Linked DNA regions of Neodiprion lecontei. The protein of the gene in region 2 binds, or shares a complex with, the protein of the main gene of each other region. Links are inferred from orthologs where the notes say so. Each region holds a gene or a part of one and is shown on either strand. Other genes may lie near its edges.

Region 1 (4,805 bases), on a different chromosome or scaffold from region 2:
TATGACACTGTTATTCCTCTCTACAGACTCTCTAATAAAACGGCATTGCAAGGAATTTTACAATCCACTTTGGTAAAGTGAGAAATGAAAAAATTATAGTCAGGATTTAAAATGTGAAACTCAAATTTTCGTAACAATATAATACTTATGAAATCATTTGCCACGAGTGTTTTTCCACGAAATTTGTGGGTATAACAATTTTTTCGACCCCGAGAAGACATAGTTTTAATTAACTTAAAGTCAATTGACGTTAATCGCGACTTCGAAGCCTTCGATTCAGCGTTTGTAATTTCAATGCTTTACGTCCAGAGTGCAGCTATGTACAATTAGCCGATAAGTTTAAGCCGTGATAGATAATTGATAAAATACATTCCAGCTTGCGTAGCTACGGAAAGTCAGGTAGGGCGATGCCTACGTCACCGTAAGAAGGCACAAAGGCAGCCAGACAGGAAAGTGTTTCTACTACGTATAATCCAACTCACTGTAAGTCGCCCAGGTGTTTATTGCTTGATGCAGCAGCACGACACCGACGTCCAGTACTGTCGCCGCATACATACCATCCGGAATTTAGGCGGCACATGCCAGGCGTGTCAACAGTATTAATAATGATGATAATGAGTTGGTACGTGCGTCAGAATGAAAGCGAACATCATAATAATCACTCAATTAATAATCATAATAATAACAATGATAATCGTTGGCAACAACCGAATAAGAACAATTGGTAGGGTAGAGCCAATCGATGCGTCGGGCATTCATTGTTTCGATTATTTGTTACCCGGAAATATCGTGCAACCCCGTTACAGTACTCTGTATGTGTCCTATTAACGACCAATATTAATTACCCCAATGCTCAATTGCTTTATGCATATCGGTGGATAATCGTTCAATACTCAATTACTTATTCCGTCTGTGAAATTCAGAACAAACTTACTAAACCATTCAATTTATCCTTTTCCTCGAATCGAAGTACAATTCTACTGTACAAAAAAGAATATATTACGTCATAATGTTGATAAAATCGTGATTTTGGATTTCAAATTTCGAACTCTGATCAATCGTTCTTGAATCTTATCGTTCGTTTATTCTTATCTCGATGAGCGTCAAGTTCGTCCTCGTCGAACAACCGCACAGCAGCAACGTAAAGTTTATTAGAATTGTTAGGTCTAGTGGCTCGGTTTCACAGAAGGCAGATTGCGATAGCATCATCACGATTGATTGGAAATACCAGAGGAATTTATCATGCGTACCTCCAATTGTCGAAATCGAGAATATATAAGATACATAGATTATCCGGCCGGCGAGCGATAACCGTTCAACGATTGCGCAATCCCAGGCAACTCTAACTGCGATACCTAAAGGCATTGCAGCACATTTCAGTGTGACAATAACAATAATAACAACAACAATAATAATAGTAACAGCAATTTCGCTAGCAAATATTTACGTAGTGCAATAGGTGTTTATAATTGCTTGTGGCGAAACCGGTGAAAACATCAAACCAAGTATTTCTTTGTGTTACAAATATTACAGAACTAATATATTTTAATACTAGAATTAATTATAGACAGACGCAGCGACAGATAGTCTTCGATAGCTTTTCAACGAGTTTTTCAAACAAACGACAATTCGACCGATGCGCGTCTGTTTGCCTCGGGTAGTTGTTTACAGTCTGATTCTCACACCGAATTCTGTTGTCTGTAAATGTGGCGATGCCACAAAGAATTTTTTTCAACGAGACTGAACTTATCGTTAGTAACGTTAACGTAACGAAACATCAGGGGAAAAATCGTTACGGTGCAATATCTGGATGTCTTTCCAGGAGTTGGCTTTTAAAAATATGAGCATGTTCTGTTTATCACGGTTTATCAAAATTCAGACGTTCCTGAAGATGCGGAGTAACGATTTCTTCGAAACATGCATTGTTACATTGACGTTACTAACTTCATCCTCGTTTTTTCAACGCATCCAATGATGTATTATGACGACATAGGTATACGTGCATTGGATGCTTAGAAACTACATGTCGCGTTATTTACCGCCATCAGGGAATTTCTTGTGTAAACTATATCAGAGGATATAATAAATTTAAACCACAATAATCGTATCAACGTATGAGAAAAAAGAAGAAAAATACTATCTATGAACTTTTAAACAGTCGGCCGTGTGCTTGTACAGAGAAACCAATACACCGCAAACTATTTATACATATAATAATCGTATAGCATGTAGGTGTGAGTAGGAAGACGAGGCTTGCTGTGCCTGACGAGACGGCGGAATATAATGGGGAAAGAAACAAAGTGGGCTCCTCGTCTCTGGTCGTCTCTCGAGGGAGGGCAATGAACGACGATCGAACGAAACGGACGTGCAGATGCAGGCGTTTGTCCCTAACTCCATTCGTCCGCTTCTTATCCGCGGGGGAACGAGTTTGCCGGTGAAAAAAATGGGGAAAACCCGATTCGAGGACGAATGAACGGACGAGTGAATACTTATTCGTACGCGATTTTATCGTGAGCTGTATACGTGGGGGAGACAGGACGCTGGCGACGAGACAAACCGTTGTGAATTTTAGAAACCCACTCGCTCCGTTCGATTTCACGGCGTGCATCGATGAGAGCAGCAAGGAGAGGAACAAGACGGCACGCGTAAAATCGATTTCTACTTATACGAATACGCTTTGTATATGTATTGTAGTATATATGCATGCGCGCGCGCGCGCGCGTGTTTGTGTACGCGTTTGTACACATGCAAGATCGTACGTAAAATAATTGTTGCACGGCACGTTGTGTACGGTGCAAAATGGCTAATAAAGAGAGAATGAAAGATAGGAGGATGGTTCAGGTGGTTAGTACTCACCTCAATAGCCATACACATTGAATATGGAAGGAACGGTAAGGTGTCCGTTATTAAAAACGAAACTCGAAAAATTGACAACGTATACTATTAACTCGCACGCGACCGTACGCCGAAAGAGCCCGTGGACAACTAACTAAAATGGCTGAACCAACCCGACGACGGCCATGAGTCAACGAGTCTGGTGTGATATACACTATGCGCCAATATCGATGCGCGCGAGACGTGGCGGCAGGGCGATGTCAGGATTTTAGATGAATATTTTATAACGTCACAGAGGAGTAATTGGAAGCTATATTGATTCCAAACATTTTGCGCGTATGTATGTTTGTATGTGTGTCAAAGTGCCCTGAGAATATGGTCATAGCGTAGGGATTACAATGTTGATTCGAATTTTCGCGCCGTCAGAATGCCCTTAGAACATGGCGGAATGAAATAAAAATCATCAAACTGTCTCCTTTGGTTATCCCTACTCTGTACCAACCTTATTTTTAGAACATATACTACTGGAAGTGCCATCCCATCGACCTTGCAAACATTGCGGCCGAGGTGAAGAGAGAAAATATATATTCGAGTTCTTCCGTCTCTTTTACTCTGCATTTGATTGGCTGAGGGGATGCGTATCGGCCAATCAAGTGTAGAGCGAGAGAGACAGATTATAACCATAATGTTATACCTCTTTATCACTCCTTCGCTACACTTTCTGTACCATAGACGTATAGAGATAGACTGCGCGGTCCGTGCTCCGATCTGAGGCCCTAATTAAAAAGAGAAAGCAACAGCGGGAGCTGACCTCTTTCTTGCACGGTCGAAAGAGTGAGGAGAAACTGGCAGACGGTGAAAGCAATAAGCACAAACGGGGAGGTATATTTGTACTTATTCCCCCGCCACATCACCGATTAGAGTGAGAGATCGGATCACGCTGTTGGTTTCTCTTTCTAATTAGGGCTTCAGCTCGGTGGACGGCCCGCGCAGTCTATCTCTATAAGTCTAACGCACGAAGCTACGTCCAGTAATGTATGCTCTAAGGTACCAAAGTACCGACCACGTTTCTATGTATAGGTATACACATTGTTCACGGAGAAAACGACACAACTTCGCGCAGGTTGGGCGTAGTGGGGTCTCGAACTACTCAGTGATGTGCTAAATCATCGTACAAATCGTACAATTTGGTCCCTGCGTAAAATACGCTTTGGTCCCTACGCTCTGTAAATGGAATTGGTGAAACACTTCGAATATTGCACGGTCATTGCATAGTAAACATATTTAATAACAGCTACACAACAAACTTGTTTCATCGATCACTAATAATAAAATGTTCCAAATCACGTGTGAGTCGTATTATGTACACGGGCTCTCCGTCTGGCTTCAGCCAGGTTTAGCCAACTATAAGGCCCATTTGGCGGCTTAAAAGAAGTAAATAAGGCCTTCCGGTAAACGGGACCTAACCGAATCAGAGAAAATTGTGGCAAGTGCTGTGCCGTTTTTTCCGTGAACAAGATGTAGAAAACTTGAAGCGCTTTTCACTGGCTACATTTGGTGCACATTGAGTGCAATTTTCCTAGGGTTTTGCTTATGTGATTAGTTGAAAGCTGGGAAAATTGTACTCACTGCACACGTAATGCAGTCAGTGAAAAACGCTATTAAGCCGCTATTTTGTACTCAAATGCCGAGAAGATAATTCGATTGGTTGCAGAGCGTTCGAATTCGATGAACCAATCAAAATTCCAAAAATGATGGATCGATTATCAAAATAGAGCATGGACTGTTCATTCTCTATACTTTTTATAGTACGCCTAATGAAAGCAGAACACACGTGTAGCCAATCTCAATTTTTATCGGACTCCGATGGTCCTGCAGGTAAGAAAGAGATAGGTAGATTATTGGGAGCACATACGTTCTGTCTCCTTGTACGGTGGGACCCATTTTCCAACATGTACCCAAATGCACAC
Region 2 (4,588 bases):
AACAAATATTCTCAAAGTTACGCACACATTTGCAAATATTGAAAAATAACATTTTATCCAAATGTAGCTGATTTTTCTTCGCAAGTTTTCATCACTTCTTTCGCATTAGCAGGGAGAATTGTGATACCCGCGGAAAATTCTTCGAGAATCTTGCCTTCGATTACAACATTTTTTTTTTTCATCAAAACGAATGGCTCTGTAGGTGATGAAATAATTCAATTCTCCGTCACTTAGAATAGAATTGATTTTCACATTACAGTGAGAAAGAACATATTTTTCGATCTGAAAATTTGAGTTCATCGGAGGATTGAGAGGCTTGATCTTCGGTGAATCCGGTCGTGAAGATATCGGTAACTTCGCTTCCCAGAGACAGTGTCAACCTTACACCGAAATATTACGATGCCAGATCGGATTTGGATTTCGGATCCATCCACTTTCTAGGCCAAATAGAAATGACCTGAACTGCGTTTGCCCTTCGGGTTGGATGTTGTGCAACTTTGATTGAAATGGTCAGTAAAATCTACGATCATCGATCGTCATCTTAAATGTTCTTCGGATCTCAACAGTTTGCATTAGCTTATTTTTGCCATCAAGATATGATTCTTGGAATCGCTGCGTGTTGACAATCTAGACTGTAAGAAATATATCATTACTTGCTTCAGCAGTAAAATATATTAGCTACTGTAAATTGAAATTTATGTCTGTACCATCCTTGAAAGTAGACAATAAGTGAGGAAATCGAATATTTTTTACAGCTACTAGCTGAAAAATAACTTTATAACGGCGTGATTTTCCGCAATAAAAATTTCACCTTAAACACGCTGAATCAACGAAATTATCTGATGCTTGAAGTAAGTTCATTTCTTTAAAGTTTGTAGAAACCAAACCGCAAACCAAATAACTCTACTTGCAAAAAAATAAATTCATGAAATCATCGGTTAGCGATAAATAAATTTCTGCCACCGATCCGTACTTACCACCACAGCAGATAATGTAGAACATATTTACCACATGAAATTGCTGCTGCGACGGTATAGAAATATGAGATATTTATTTACCTGAATTTATACTGAAAAATCGAGGTCCATTATTCGCGCACCGGACACCTGCAGAAATTCATGAACACTAACCGTCAATATCCCCTGAATTCGCGCCTTACCGAGCGAGCTGCATTACCATGGAAGTAACTCCGTCGGTAAGATTGGATTATCAGCAACTGGCGTCCGCCGGATAAGAATAAGATTTTCAAATCGCTGCGACTCTGAAACTATACACAGACACACGTTAATTCGTATCGCATCGCTATCGAGTAGTTCCAGCAATCAATCGCTTCGATCCAGTCGTCGTGTTTTGAACGTGGGCTTAACACGGCGATGATAATGACCACCGGCATCCTCGGTCAAAGGCGTCAAGGGTGGCCGGGCGTCAAGGGGCCGAGAGAGAGAGAGATAGGTAGACGGAATAGGTCGATGTTTTCTGGACGATGCGTAAAGGCCAGCTACGCAGGCGCACCGTCCGAAACGAAGGTTATAAGTATATGCGTTAATCCTTACCGAGGTGAAGTTGCTGCTCGTTACCCGTGTTCGCACGATGGCGCAAAATGTTATCAACTCGGGAGCTCGGACAACTTTTATTCTATTTATTACTATCGGAGTATTTCACTTAGCGAGCGGCAACGCGCTCGGAGTGTCCGGCAAGCCGGTTAGCATCGCCTCGGTGAAATTAGTCGACGAATCGTCGTTGCCGTCGGAGTTTTCGGTAGCAAATCCAAAGCCCGGTAATTCACTTTTCTATATTGAGGTTACTGGCGCCGGTATTACCGAAGATTTTCCCCTGGTGTTGTCACTCGACCAAAGTTACTGTGAGGTTAATTACAATGGGAATAACCAGCTACGTCAAGTGTCACTCGACCGTGATGGAACCCGTGCTATTTACGAGATCGACTATCAACAACCCGAACAATTTAAGGTTACGACCGTCTATTTTTGCCTCCAACGGAAATCACGCCTTCAACATGTTTGGGTTAACCTGGGCGCGGATTATTCCGTCATATTATACGACCGATCGTAAGTAAACATGCGCTTTATTTATTCTTCATCATAAATCGGCGAATGCCAATGTGGCATATCCACTCTCCGTCTCTCTTTCGTTTTATATCTCGTCGTCGTATTTTTCTTAGAAAAAAACCGCCGCTGCGTAGCGGGACATTCGATTTGTTAATTTCACGTTATACGCTACCACTCGTTTCATATCTCGGCTAGCTGTCGCCTCTCCATTTCCGACGAATATTCATCCATCGAGAGATTACAGACACTTATCAGCAGTTTATGCCGCTCCGAGTGTGGCTGCGATTAAACTGTTACGTTGGCAGTTTTGAATCAGTTTTAAAACCGATGACGCGAGTCAGTTTTTTTTTCTCCTCTTTTTCTACTCTTCGATCGTCGATTGTTCGTTTCAGAATCGAACCGCCGTGAATTACGTTTCCAATTGTCAAATTCGGCAGAGTTTAAAAATGCGTCACAGAACGTGACAATATCAAGCTTTATGAAAGTTGAACAGAATTTTATCCATCTGAATTCAATTGAGATTGTTTCAGTTATTTATCTTTTCGGAAATGTTGCTTTGTTGCTCCGTTGGTTGGATGAAAAAATCGTTTCTGATGTGTCAGGGCTGATTCACGATTTACGAGTAGATTCTTTAAAAATTGTCTGAAATCAATCTTCAATTATATTAATCATTAATTAACAAGTTATCAACAGCAACCTGCAATAATCATTTTGCATAATAAATGATTTTGTGACGAACGTGAAATTCATTCTTAGTACACAGTTTCTAGATGATTCGTTCCTGGACAAAACGATCTGATAAATATTTAAAAATTGGACTAATCGAATGTTTTTTTTCCATTCGAGGGTGTTATTATAAAGTTTGTTCTTCCGATATTCGTTCAATTAAATTCAAAACTTGTTTCACTTCGGTCACAGTTTTTTTTTAAAGCTTTGATTCATTTTCATTTTTCGTTCCCCATCTGACATAAAAACGTTGACGATGCATTAAGAGCTTCGTAGCTGTTTGAGATAAAGCTATAATTACGATTAGAATTTGGCCGTGATATTCGGTAGCAGCTCATGCGCGAGATGGAAACTCGATTTCCAATCAACATCAGCGACTGACAACAAATTCGAAGAAATGTAATCAGGACAACATCGGTCGGTCAAGAAGAAATCTGCAGCATAACACAACAAGAGGAGGCTACCAATCTCTCCCGAATTTATGTAACGCGCGTCTAATCCTGTAGAAATTTTTTTCACCCACGCTTATACCAAAAACGATGTAAATAAACGTCTCTGAGTATTGCATAACGTAACGTTTCGGATATTGCAAGTAACCTCAGAAATTTATCACGTCCCAACTTCGTTCTAACCATGGTATGGGCGGTTGATTCAAACGATGGTGTAAAAATCCTTGTTACGTTATTGTATCACCCATTGTTTATTTACGTGCAAGGAATATCCGAGTCGTCGATTATAAATATCGACCCGTAGACGTCAACGATGAGACAAATAACCATTAATATAGAGATTGTAGCGTGCATTCGTGGTCGCTGTTATATTCTTAACTTGTTTAATTGCGAAATCGAACGCCCCAGACTTGTTTTATTTGTAACTCAACATCTATCAACATCATCGTATATATGAATATTATGTACACGTTACTGCATTTCACGACGTATAAATGCATGGCTGCAACGCACGTGTTATAATCTAATACGATTTCAGTTTAACCAACAACGCGAATGAGCGAGAATTCTTCTTCATCGTTTCTCTGTGGCGCAGTAAACTCCCGGTATTAACGGTCCACTTCTTTTTTCTTTTTCTTCCTCCTCGTTCTCAACTTTGAGGCCACCCGTCGCCCAGTTCTACTTTACCGACCGAAATCACTATCCAGAAGGGGAAATTCTCCGTGCTGTTTGATGCAGCCAGACCAAGACTTTGGATCGATTTTCTGTTTCCCCCTCGATCGTTCACTCTGTAGAATAGAATTACTACGCAGCGTCTAGAGATATCTGGCCCAGAAAATGGAGGATAACAATTGTTACTTTCGTTGAAATGATTTCAGTAATTTTATTATGAATTAATTTATGGTCACGCCCATCGAGTAGAGATAAGCTGCAAAGTGCGAAGACGAAGCTTGCAATAATCGTACGTGGTGGTCGCATTAATTCACAATAAATGAGTGAGCTAGTGAATTTTAACGAATTTCCGAAGAAACTGAAATTTGAAATTCAAAGTTTTACATCTGTCTACGAAATTCTAACGAAATACTTGGCGTTACAGGCTTTGTATGCGTTTTCGGCTTTTAGTGAAAACTCGAGATGAATGAAATGTAATTTGTAACGAGAGATTGAATTTCTTCGTTCGGCACTTCGATTTTAATAGACGACAAATTAACGAATCTGAAAAAGGAAAATGTTTTCATTAAAGACTTCATTGAACGCCATCGACGATTCTTAAATAATAGCCAAACAGTAGGTTAATGTTTAATGAAGTAAGTAGATTAACCGAATTTCGATGAAACGTTGTGCATT

The links.
Region 1: the proteins of unextended protein (region 2) and PRL-1 phosphatase are in contact, whole or in part, in a crystal structure (PDB 8CT8), measured with the Drosophila melanogaster proteins. The link is inferred for Neodiprion lecontei from reciprocal best matches to the Drosophila melanogaster genes uex and PRL-1. Residues at the interface, in NP_001104390.2 of Drosophila melanogaster: Leu391, Val422, Thr423, Lys442, Cys445, Glu446, Gln449, Asn450, Pro451, Phe454, Phe456, Asp458, His480, Val482, Asn484, Gly488, Asp489, Pro490, Phe491, Tyr492; in NP_001260487.1 of Drosophila melanogaster: Asp32, Ile33, Thr34, Ile35, Asn36, His37, Asp77, Gly78, Cys109, Ala111, Leu113, Gly114, Arg115, Arg142, Arg143, Gly144, Ile146, Asn147, Gln150.

Annotation. Positions count from the first base shown.
Region 1 is NC_060261.1:13,154,998-13,159,802, reverse strand, and holds the start of PRL-1 phosphatase, read right to left. Parts: upstream 3,007-4,805; 5' UTR 2,857-3,006; intron 1-2,856. UniProt on the Drosophila melanogaster protein: Probable phosphatase. Inhibits growth possibly by negatively regulating Src64B-induced growth. Regulates central nervous system circuit formation and stabilization of synapse-dense terminal arbors.
Region 2 is NC_060262.1:6,544,741-6,549,328, reverse strand, and holds the start of unextended protein, read left to right. Parts: upstream 1-1,556; 5' UTR 1,557-1,590; coding exon 1,591-2,066; intron 2,067-4,588. UniProt on the Drosophila melanogaster protein: Probable metal transporter. Acts downstream of PRL-1 and protects the nervous system against olfactory carbon dioxide stimulation.